3 linked regions of the Drosophila melanogaster genome follow. The gene in region 3 interacts genetically with the main gene of each other region. Each region holds a gene or a part of one and is shown on either strand. Other genes may lie near its edges.

Evidence for each region.
Region 1: of Nf1 (region 3) and car, changing one suppresses a phenotype caused by changing the other (phenotypic suppression), as found in Drosophila melanogaster (one study listed by BioGRID).
Region 2: of Nf1 (region 3) and Dsor1, changing one suppresses a phenotype caused by changing the other (phenotypic suppression), as found in Drosophila melanogaster (one study listed by BioGRID).

Annotation. Positions count from the first base shown.
Region 1 is NC_004354.4:19,564,113-19,567,942, reverse strand, and holds the start of car (carnation), read right to left. Parts: upstream 1,925-3,830; 5' UTR 1,817-1,924; intron 1,761-1,816; exon of another isoform or gene 1,729-1,760; 5' UTR 1,602-1,728; coding exon 159-1,601; intron 37-158; coding exon 1-36. Other genes in the region: Grip84 (Gamma-tubulin ring protein 84), read left to right, coding at 2,474-2,529, 2,636-3,170, 3,251-3,757, 3,825-3,830. UniProt on the Drosophila melanogaster protein: Core component of the class C core vacuole/endosome tethering (CORVET) and the homotypic fusion and vacuole protein sorting (HOPS) tethering complexes involved in endo-lysosomal vesicle trafficking and lysosome biogenesis.
Region 2 is NC_004354.4:9,245,363-9,249,192, reverse strand, and holds the start of Dsor1 (downstream of raf1), read right to left. Parts: upstream 1,852-3,830; 5' UTR 1,395-1,851; coding exon 1,285-1,394; intron 652-1,284; coding exon 12-651; intron 1-11. Other genes in the region: amx (almondex), read left to right, coding at 2,132-2,986; Larp7 (La related protein 7), read right to left, coding at 3,470-3,830. UniProt on the Drosophila melanogaster protein: Required downstream of Raf in the sevenless (sev), torso (tor), and Drosophila EGF receptor homolog (DER) signal transduction pathways.
Region 3 is NT_033777.3:25,981,045-25,984,644, reverse strand, and holds the start of Nf1 (neurofibromin 1), read right to left. Parts: upstream 1,633-3,600; 5' UTR 1,354-1,632; coding exon 1,297-1,353; intron 1,054-1,296; coding exon 910-1,053; intron 811-909; coding exon 426-810; intron 371-425; coding exon 229-370; intron 173-228; coding exon 1-172. Other genes in the region: fid (fire dancer), read right to left, coding at 3,348-3,600.

The sequences.
Region 1 (3,830 bases), on a different chromosome or scaffold from region 3:
AATTTCAACGTTGTCGTCCACCGTGAGGTGCAGCGTCTGCAAGAGAAAATGATGTTTTGATGTAGCAACATCCTAAATAGCATTCCCTCATATATTCACTCACAAATAACTATATAACTTATAACTAAATATGGTTGGATTACTGAATTGGCGCTCACCTTTCGCAGAACGCTGTAAGCCCGCGACTCTGTTTGCAGATGGAGCAGGCCCGATTTCTCCAGGTTGCTGATGGTGAGCAGCACTTCCAGACCGTACACATGGACCAGTTCGCGCTTGTAGTGGTTAAGCAGCTTCTCCTTGAATCCGGAGGCGGCGTGGCACTGCATGCAGATGAGCCGCAGGACGCGATTCAACTCCACCCTGCAGGCAATCAGGTCCTCGATGTAGGCGCTTGGCTTGTCGATATCTGCGCAGACCATGAACTCCTGCTCGGCAGCCAGGTCGTCAGCGAAGCGCACCGCGTTCACCTGTTCGTGCAGGAGGCCAGCGATGGCCGTATGCTCAGAGGTGGCCTTCTTCTGGGCCATTAGCTGCGGCAGGAGGTTCTCGACGAAGCTCTTGATCTCCTGCACGCTCTTGTCCTGGGAGGTGGCGTGCATCTGGACGTGAATTTCCCGTGCCTTGCGAGCGAGCAGCTTGGTGACCTCGTTGAAGTGCTTGTTCCGCAGCTCCGCGTACAACTGCTCGCCGGAGTGCAGTAGGATGGTCTTTTTCTCGGTGTCACCCAGCAGCGACTGCGATTCCTCGACTCGTGGGCCACTGCCTCCGCCTCCGGGAAGGGCTCCGTCAGAGGGAAAGTTCTCGGCGGGCAGCGTCAGTTTGTTCTGCCGGATGCCGTAGAACTCATCGATAAGCCCCTCGTAGGTGAGTTGTGTGGCCAGCGGGCTGAGCAGATCGATGCTTCTGTCCAGAAGGATCAACTGATCGACGACACCCTTGTCGCCGTTGTACAGAGTCCGCTCATCCCGGCCCAGCTGCTTGGCGTGCTCCCATACCCTGTGCGCAAACTCTCCTTTTCCGTAGATCTTCGGAATGCGACCGTATAGACGCTGCAGCTGCACTAGGCCCACTGCCGCCTGATACAGCGAGCTAGTGTCACCGTCCACACTCACATCGCGGAAGGCATTGGGCATCTCCATCGATACCAGGTCGACATCCAGCGGCAGATAGTTCCAGGCCAGTTCCTCGATGTTTCCGAAGCTGCCCAACACGCCGCTGACCTCCAGTTGGCTGACGCACAGACATGACCGCCTCGGGGCGAACAGGATGTGGTACTGCCGTCCAGCGGCCGCTCTTCCGCCTGCCTTCACGTGGGCGGCCAGCTGCTCCATCAGCGCCACGCGTGGGCGCATCACGTACACCACATTGGCCACCTCGCGCGGCAAATGAAGCTCCGGCTTGAGGGCCAGCAGACGGATGCCTCGATCAGCGAATAACTTTGGCCGGGTAACCAAGTCCAGCGGTCCGATCATGGTCTCGTCCAGCACAATAACCTTGGAACCCTCAATGCGGTCCAGCTGCTGCAGCAGCTCGCGGCAGGCGGCCTCCTGCAGCAACTGCAGGTTGACCCGCTGACCATGGCCCTTCAAGTGGGGGAACATGCTCCTTTCCTCTTGCCAGAAGTGTTGATTCGTATGCTCTGCGGCTTCCGGTCGGTCGCTACCGTGTCCTTGGTGGGCGGTTTGTGCAGTGCGTTGGTGGTGTTGGTGCAACGCCCACGGATTTCGGCTGCAGAAGATCAGGGACGCGACTGTAATCGCTGCAAAGCAGCTGATTTGGACTGCGCCTGCGCTCAGCAGTGCGGTCTTACACTTACCCTTATGGCACGGTCACACTGTCCGCTGCTCTATGGGCCATTCACACTATCACTTGCCTGCAATTTAAAATCAAAACAGTTGCCAGATATAAATTTTGTTGATTAAACAAGAATATAAAGTTAAGATAGAATAAAATAATAGAGGAGTAGTTTCAATTATTTAATCTGTGGGTAGAAAGTATTTCTTATTTATTTTTTATGTACAGCTTTTTTCATTTAACAAAATTTGTATTTTTTCAATGCTTTGCACGCTTTAACGCAAATAAGTTACAGTAGTGGCCAGTCCAGTGTAAACTATGCTAAACGCACCCCTCTTTTTCGCCAGCAACCAGTGTCACCACATCCTCACAATTAAATACCAACAAATGCCAATTTGCATCAAGTTGCTTGTGCTGCTCATTTCAGTTTAAATTGATTCCGAAATTGCTGCAAGCGCGTAAAATAAAATGAGCATCTGCGATTTTAAAACGGCTAAGGATTGAAAAAAAAACTAGAACATTACAAGGACAGATGACAACCCTGTCGCTGCAGTCGGCACTCAAGCAACCCGGAAAAGAACAACAAAATATTGAGAAGAGCGGCGCACTCAAAAAGAGCTCAATTGCCGGTTATAACTGTAAATTGAGAAGCGCGGAACTATAAATTGCCATCTCCGTGATGAGTAAACCCCATGCGCTGCGCGGTGTGCTCGCCAATTTGATCAGCGAGTCGCAGTAAGTGGATTGAGTGCACAGGTGGCCAGTCGATCTAGCCGTTGCTCCTGCACCGCCTCTTTCCCGCCATTGGCACCATAGTTTACTGTCATTTTTTATCCCACAGATCGCCCCTAACTCCGGAGAGCATCATTCGGGAGTTTCGGGCCACTAGTGATCGGCGGCTGCCAGCCTGCGATCTGATCAAAGTCCTGGTGTCCATCAGCGAGAAGCGTCCCAACTTCGCAGAGGTGACCAAGGAGATCTCGCACATTCTGCAGAATAAGGATCCCATGTACGCACTGCTGGTGTTCGTCGAGCGATACAGCGAATGCAAACCAGTCTCCGAGAGCAGCAGTTCCACTAGCCTTTCAGCGATGGGCTTGCCGCACGGAAACAAGACTTCGGATGTTAATTCCGCAGCCGGTTCAGTCCCCACCACATTGGCAATCGCAAGCACCTCGACAATCTTAACCACATCGCAAAACGTATCTGGTTCCACCAGGCTTAGCTTGACCCAGTCCCAGGACTTTCCCACCTCGACGCCGGTGAATTGCAAAAAGGCCACTGAATCCGACACTACACCCGTAGTCTTTGTCAGGCGCGGCCCAATGGACCGTAACCGTGGAGCGGGCAAGGATGAGCGCAACGACTTAAGTGTGGTGAGTGCAGACTAAGTATGGTGTGCTGTTCGCTGCCAATTACTTGGCCCCTTCAAATAATCAATGATCAACCCACACAGATCAAGGAACGTGTGCTTAATGCCGTTTCCGATCAATCCTTGAGCGGCTACCGCTCGGTGACCAACAAAACGGGCAACAGCCCAAAGTCAATGCCGAATGACCTGGTGACGCTAACTGATGTGCCCGATGAGTACCGCACCCATTTACTGTGGGAATACTACAAGGTGGACGGGGACAAGGTGCCGAGGGCAGAGATCGCGGCAATGCCGCTTCTCAGCCAGGAGAGTATGCTGCTCGACGAGCTGCTGCACTGCCTCACGGGCATAAGAGAAAGCCTCCTGGTGCCTCAGAAGCCAATTATTTCTGCCGTTGGCCTGGCCAAATACGACACGGACTTTGACATACACACGCACCTCGATCGCTCGCTGACACACCAGGTGCGGGAAATCTTGCCATTGGCCTCCTACTTCATGGGCGTGCAGAAGATAATCGCGGCTACCGACGGCCTGGGTCAGGTGATGAACTCATTGAATGAGGCACTGCAGGAACTTACACACGACTTCTATGTAAGGATGTGCAATCGTGTCGTGGCAAAATTTTTCCCTAACTAATCTTTTTTTCCACCGAGCCTAGCTGATA
Region 2 (3,830 bases), on a different chromosome or scaffold from region 3:
CAGTTACTTACCGACATATAGCTACGGGTGCCCACAAAGGAGTTGGCCATCGAGTCGATCAGTTGACCGGAGACGCCGAAATCACAGATCTTGATCTCGCCGCTGCTATTGACGAGGATATTGCTCGGCTTCACGTCACGGTGGATGATGGCGTGATTGTCGCGCAGATAGCTCAAGCCCTTGAGCACCGCCAGCGTGATCCTGCCGAGAATGGACTCTGGTATTCGACCGGCCCGCTTGAGGATCAGGTCAAGTGATCCACCGTCCATATACTCCATGCAGATACTGATCTCGCCGTCGCTGTAGAAGGCGCCGTAGAAACCGACAATGTGCGGGAAATTACATTCGTGCAGGACTTTCAGTTCGCGCAGGATCTGTTTCTTGATCGCCGGCTTCACCTCCAGATGGATCAGTTTCCTGGCCATGATCAGGTGTGTGTGCGTGTGCCGGACCTTCATCACCACGCCGCCATTGCCCGATCCGAGCTCGCCCAGCTTCTCCAGATCCTCGTCGGACAGCTCGCCGATCTTCTCCTTCTGGCTGAGGAACATCTTGATCCGCTTGCGTTCCGTGTCGCCCATGTCCAGACCCTCCAGCGTCTCTGTCAGCGCATCGATGCTCGTCTTGGGCTTCCCCAGCAAACTGTGTGTGCTTTAATTTAACCTCTTAATGAATTTTTGCGATCCAAAACGAAAATGTAAAAAGTGCAAGCAATGGATGGGATTTGAAAGTGGGGGATGGGATGAGGGGCGGGCCGAAGTTTCTCCTAATAATAAGAAAACTACACAAACATACACATCAAATTACATATGTATTGTGTTATGTTATGTTGCCTACATTTTGGTGCTCACAAAAAAATATACGATAAAGGTAGGACTATTAAATTATAATTTCTATTTATCTTCGAAACTGACTTTGTCATCCCGTTAATTAATCCAAAAAGCACTAAAACAGTTTACTGTATTTACTCAGTAAGTTTTTTCTCGCTGTGTACCTGTGCGTCACACGAAAGGAGCACCACCCACACCAACAAACAAAGAGAGAGTACCTGCTCTTTCACTCCGACTGTCTCTTTCTTTCCAGCTGGATGGGATTTCCTTGGATCAATTGATGGATATTAATTACCCACCTAACTCGCAAAACTACAGGATTATCTTACCACTGAGTAGGAAACCGAAAACGAGGAGTGGAAGGGGAAACAGCGAGGGAGGGGGGATGCGGTGTTATTGGAATGGGTGGCCTAAAAACCAGTCAGTTATTAAGGATATTATGTATAATATTTACTCTGTGCCCGAGGGGGTTTTGAATGGCGGCGTCGGCGCCACTGTGGCGGCGGCAACAGTTGCCTCCGTATTTACCGGCGGCAGCACCAGATTCAGCTTGTTCTTCGACATCTTACTATATATAATATATATCTCTCGATACCGTTATCCGTTACCGATAAGTTAAAGCACACAACAATAACAACAACAAAAAAAAACTAATAAATGAAACAATACAAATAGAGAGTGTTCCAGTGGAAACAACAACAAAACGCACTACGAACAGCGGCGTCCGACGAACGGCTGAAGGGTGTGAGGGGCGAGGGGCGTCGGCGAGGGGGCGTGCGAAGGGAGGCCAAGTGCGAATGTTTCGTTTTGTGTGTCCAGCCGCTGGTAAATTTGCACCAATTCCTCGCGTTGCGCTTAACTTTAACACACCCGAACCGAGCACACGAACAGCAAACGGATAGTTAATATTATTTTTGCAATAATCAGCCAAAATCGGCGACTTTTGGGTTTTTTTCGCAGACGGTGCGGTATGGCCAGATGTCGCGATTACCAAATACCGTTAATACACTCCTACGACTAAAGCGGCCAATGGTCACAACTTAAATGGAAAGGATATTAGGATTAGATATTACTAATTTGTTACGATGAGGGGAGAGGTATACTTATCTGTTTAGCCAATTTAATTGAGCCAAAACATATCTATAAACTATTCGATACGCTTTTTAAAGAAATTTCTCCTGAGCATTCGCGGTTGATATTTTCATGCCACGCGTATACGGTCACACTCTCCCACCCCACTCATTTTCTTAAAGGGAAAAACAATAACATTTCCGGCGTATTCCCCGCTCTATCTGACCAAAATGAGGCTCCAACGACAGTGCATTGTGGTCAACATGCGATCGGCCATTGTCCTGATCATGATCTTCGTGCTGACGGGGATCAGGAACAGCGAAACGGCCAGCGGTGGCAACCAGATGGACTTATCGGACTCAAAAGGCGATCACAAGGATAACAGCAATGCGAGCAATGGCAATGGAAATGCCAACGATAACGAGGTGTATGTGCCGCCCCTGGTGTCCAGCATGGTGGCCAAGAGTGGAGGAGGTGCCGGTGGACTCCTGGACAACATAACCGCCTACAGCAGCAGCAGCAGTAGCAGTAGCAGCAATGGGAACAACAACATGCTATGCCCGTACGATAAGGAAACGCCCTGTGATCGCCTGCAGTTTCCCTGCATCCGTTGCAACTACAATCATGGATGCATCTACGGCCGGGACTTGAATGTAACCTGCGAGGTGATCAACAATGTCCAGTGCCTGGGCGAACGGAGTTTCCAGCGACAAATGAATTGCCGATACTGCTACCAAACGGAAATGTGGCAACAGAGCTGTGGCCAGCGCTCCAGTTGCAACTCGGCGACGGATAAGCTATTCCGTACCAACTGCACCGTGCACCATGATGTGCTCTGCCTCGGCAATCGATCCTTTACCCGCAACCTGCGATGCAACTGGACGCAGGGCTATCGGTGGAGCACAGCCCTGCTGATTAGCCTCACGCTAGGGGGCTTTGGAGCCGATCGATTCTACTTGGGCCACTGGCAGGAAGGGATTGGAAAGCTGTTCAGCTTTGGCGGCCTCGGCGTCTGGACCATCATCGATGTCCTGCTCATCTCGATGCATTATTTGGGGCCAGCGGATGGCTCACTTTACATATAGTTTAGTTTTACAGGGGTTAATAGGTCATAAGCTAACTTTTCCATTACAGTGTACATAATAACGAATGCAAATATGCAACCATTAGGAATAGCAAGATCTTCTCAAAAACGTGTACATAATTAATTAGGAAATGTATTTTATTAATAATGCCAAAAGTTCTTTTTTGTATCTTTTATCTAGCACAATTCTTTGATCGTATCAATAAATAAGTGAAAGAGAAAATATAACCATCTCTTTCTCGTTCCTGTAAGATCAGACAAATTTGTAAAAATAAATGGTTTGTTTCATTCAGAAGATTTATTTCAATTTCACTAGGAAGTTTCTTTTTTAAAAATTCAATTTGTTTTTACAATATTACTCTAATATTACGAAATCTTGTGCTAGATCTAAATGTATCTTTTGCTTACATTTATAAATTTATATAGCTTATATTATAGAGTTTCCTGAAATGAAATCCAAACTCACCCCTCAACTGAAAGTGACTCAGTCCATGGCGGCCGCCTGCACTTCATCATCGCCATCATCAAACTTAATGTGCTTGCCCAGCATTTTGCCCACTTTCTCGCGACCGCGTTTTTGCTGCACGCGCACCTTTTTCGAGAGTTTCGCCTCGCGATCCTGCTCGATTTTTCGCCAATAGAGCGTCTCCTGCTGGCCAGAGAGCACTTTCAGCTGCCTCTCGGAGCAGTTGACCTGGCGTAGCAGTTCCTCGGCTGCGGCAGGCGTGCCCAAACGTAGTAGGGCCACTTGGTCGCCCTCCTTAATATCCACATATTTAATATCCGGATATTGGCGCATTTCAGCCTTAAATTCTTTAACATTGGTGCATGGTTTTAGCAGGGAG
Region 3 (3,600 bases):
TTCCTTGTCCTTTTCCTTCTCTTTCTCCGACTGCTGAAGTTCGTTAACAACAGCCTCAAGGCAAGAGGGATTCAATATCAGCAAGAGCATTTGAAGCGGCCAAACAAGAGTCTTGCTTTTCTTGTTTTCGGTTTTAAAGTACTCTACAAAGTCCATCAGGGGTTCCCAGCAGCTAAACGAAACAGGATCAATTAATGTGACTTTAAAAACGCTTGTAATTCCTCTTACGTTGATATATCTCGATTGGTTCCTCGTTGCAAGTCCTGGAACTCTTGTGGATGGTACTCGATCCAGTTCCAAATAGCCTTCTCCAGCGAGTAAAGCAAGATCAAAGGTGGAGCACGCTTCGATCGAAACTTTGTGATGGTTTCTGGAAACGTAAAACGTTGTTTAACCTTTCCGAAATATTAAAAAAGTTAGTTTACCTTGTAGCAGCTTGGTTAGCTTTATCATATCCATATCGATGTGTTGAATTAATTCTATGTCGTTGTAGTCCGGGTTTTCCTCGGAACAGGATGTCAGCTCTTGAATCCTGGCCGATATGCGATTGAACACCGCCGAGAAGTGATTCTGGGACAAGGCAAAGAGCACCTTGGATGCCAGGGCCTTGAGCTGGGCGGCATTCGGATTGCTGTCGCTCTGGACGTCGACAAACTGGGAGATCTCGCGCAGCAGAAGCTTCACATTCATGGCCTCTTCAAAACGTGCTGTGTCCTTGGTCTGGTTGGTCAGACAGCGTTCCAGAGTGGTCAGTATGATGACCAGCGACTCAAAGTAGCAACGCTCTGGCTCATGGCGATTTTGAAGGGCCTGCAATGAAATTTTTGTTTAAGTAATTTAATCGTATCCTAGCCCCATAAAATAAGGCAACATAGTTTAAGGGTTAACAATAGAGAATGGAGTACTTACCGCCTCATTGACCCTCTGCAGCATCTTGGTGAGACCGGATATGACAAGGGAGAAGCGGTAGCGCGATATGTGGATCAGACAGGCCACCAATTGGTCCTGGCTCATCCTGGCCTGCGTGCCATAGGCACCGATTCTGTTTGGCAGCTGAAAAAGTAAACCATTGATTGCTCAATTCCACTTCATTCATGCGGGAACCGGTGTTTTTGTTATTGTTGCTATCTCGCTCTCCCACGCATTTGATTGAGAGCTCACACTGACAGAGCGGGTGAGGCACGCACACTCGCAAGGTCGCTGTGAGCATGTGTGGGGGAGGAAGAGGCAGAGCAGCAGGTACATTTTTTCGCTTGCGAAAACGCAACTGCGGAAAAGCGATTGGAAAACACTTGCCTGATCCTCGAAACGTGCCAAAAGGGCGCTAGCCCACTCGCCTGGCTTCTGGGTCATCTTGTTGTGGTGTTTTAACAGTTGTTTATGCGTTTTTTACTGCATTTCAGCAACTAAATAGGGCAGCTTTTCGTTGAGCTTGGGGAGTGGCAATTGGTTGAGTGGCATCTTTGTTCGTTATCCTTGGTGTTTTTTTCAGTTCCTGAGACGTTCACTTCCTTCTCTTCCAACAATTTGGATGGTTTGGCTTTACAAAACGGGCACTGTTTCTTTTTTTATGGGAATTTTCTAAGGGCTTACAGGCTGTTATTTGGATGTTTATATTGTGTGTGTACCGCCTTCCATTTCTTTCACAATACCGAAACGCTTTTATAAGTGATAACAATTACATCCTATCGATATATCGCTTATTTTCAAATAGTGATGGCATCAGACCAACTAGTACTGAATTCATTAGGGTGACCATAAGCCACAAGTAAATGCGCGCGCTCACAGGAGCGTTTAAAAATTCCAAAAATATTTGGCCTTCATTTCGTTCTATCTCATTTGATGCTATTATTTTATATGGTCTAAGTGTTCCAATTAGAAATATAAATGATTTTTAAAACAGATTCAGTTCAGTAAGTATTATTAGTTTATTTAATGTTGTTGTTAATGCATTACAAATTATCAATATTAAATATTTCAGATGGTTTTGTAGCTTGGGTTTTGAGTTAATTCCGTTTGAGTGTGCCTGTTTGGCTCTGTGCAAATTATACATATTTTCCAGCAATACTTAATGTTTATAATGTTTCAGCATTTCGAGCAGTAATAGGTTCAAATCGAGTTCTATCTGTTGTAATTTAGTGTTGCGTCCAACGTTAGTTAATATTTATTCAATTGTTCTATTATTTTACGGTATAAAGTTAGTTTAGCTAGCTAAAAAACACATGTACAGTCGCATATAGGTATATATATGTATATATTTGGTTTTATTGAAAATGTTTGCGTTATTTTTCAAATAACCCTTCTTAAGCTGACAAAAATTTGAGTTTAGGCATAGGCTTATGTTACAATCGTCTTATTGGCCGTTTTTGGGAAGTGAGTTGGGTACTTTATCCAATCAATTAAAGTAAATAAAAAAGTGCTTTAAAAAGGTGAAAAATTTATATATGTGGAAAATTGTGAGCTTGCGGAAAGAGTTTCTTAAACTGTTTTGTGTATATATTTTTGATTTTACTTTGCATTCGATATATGTACGGTTTTCTCATAGATTTAAATGCAGTTATTGATATTTTTAGAGGGTTCTATTAACTTTGCAGTTTTAAGGAGTGTATACATGCACGTACATAGTTGCTATATTACTTTGTTCTAGCTGCTTAACTGGTATCTTGATTTTCTCTTGTATAAGTGGTATATGTTGGCTGCAATGGACGTTTGATGATTATTCGCTTCGAAATTATAGCATAAAGTGCTTGAAACTTAGTCTGCAGATAGCGCAAGATACAAACAGATGATCGTTGTAAATAGAATATGCTCGTATAACTAGTAAGATTTGTATTTAGCTTGCGTTGTTTCGTTATCGCATTCGATTCGATTGGTTTCGTTCTTACAGCTAAGTTTTCCTTTGAAATTGGATTTCAATGCAGTGCAATCCTGCGTTCGCGTCCTTGAGCAGGCCTGCTAACAATAAATTAGTGCTGGATAGCAGGACGGGCCTTCCCCGCCCCGCACCGCCAGCCGACTAGAGTAATAGACTAAATTTAACAATTCCTTTGGGGGCATCAGATCAGAGACTACAGCTAGGAAATGGGCATTTGTTTTAGATCAGGGATTCAAACGGGTAAACGGGTACGCCTTGAAAAAATCAAAAAAGCTGCTTGGATTTTGAATGTCCTAAAAAGATATTCAAGTGTTTTTGTAGAGCAACTTAAAATGTATTAGATGCGTATAAAAAAATGTAATTCAAAGTAATTTAACGTATATCCTTTAAATATTTGGTATACATGCTTCGGTCCCAGTAATAGCAAATAAACTTAAGTTTCGTTTCGAATCCCCGTTTGAGAGTTGGGTGCTTAGATGGTCCACACCTGAACCTTCTCGGCCACCACACACCAGCTGGCCCGCTCGTAGTAGGAGCTAACGATGTGCAGGCTGGCCACATGGTGGTTGATCAGTGCGTCCAGCTCGCCCTCGCGGAACACATGGTAGTAGCGGTGGTGTGTGCTGGCTCCGCCCTGGGAGGGGCTGTCCAGGGAGTTGGTGGAGCTGTTCGAGTGCTCCAGGGAATCGTTGGAGGGACGCTGCTGGAGATTCGGTGCCTGGTTT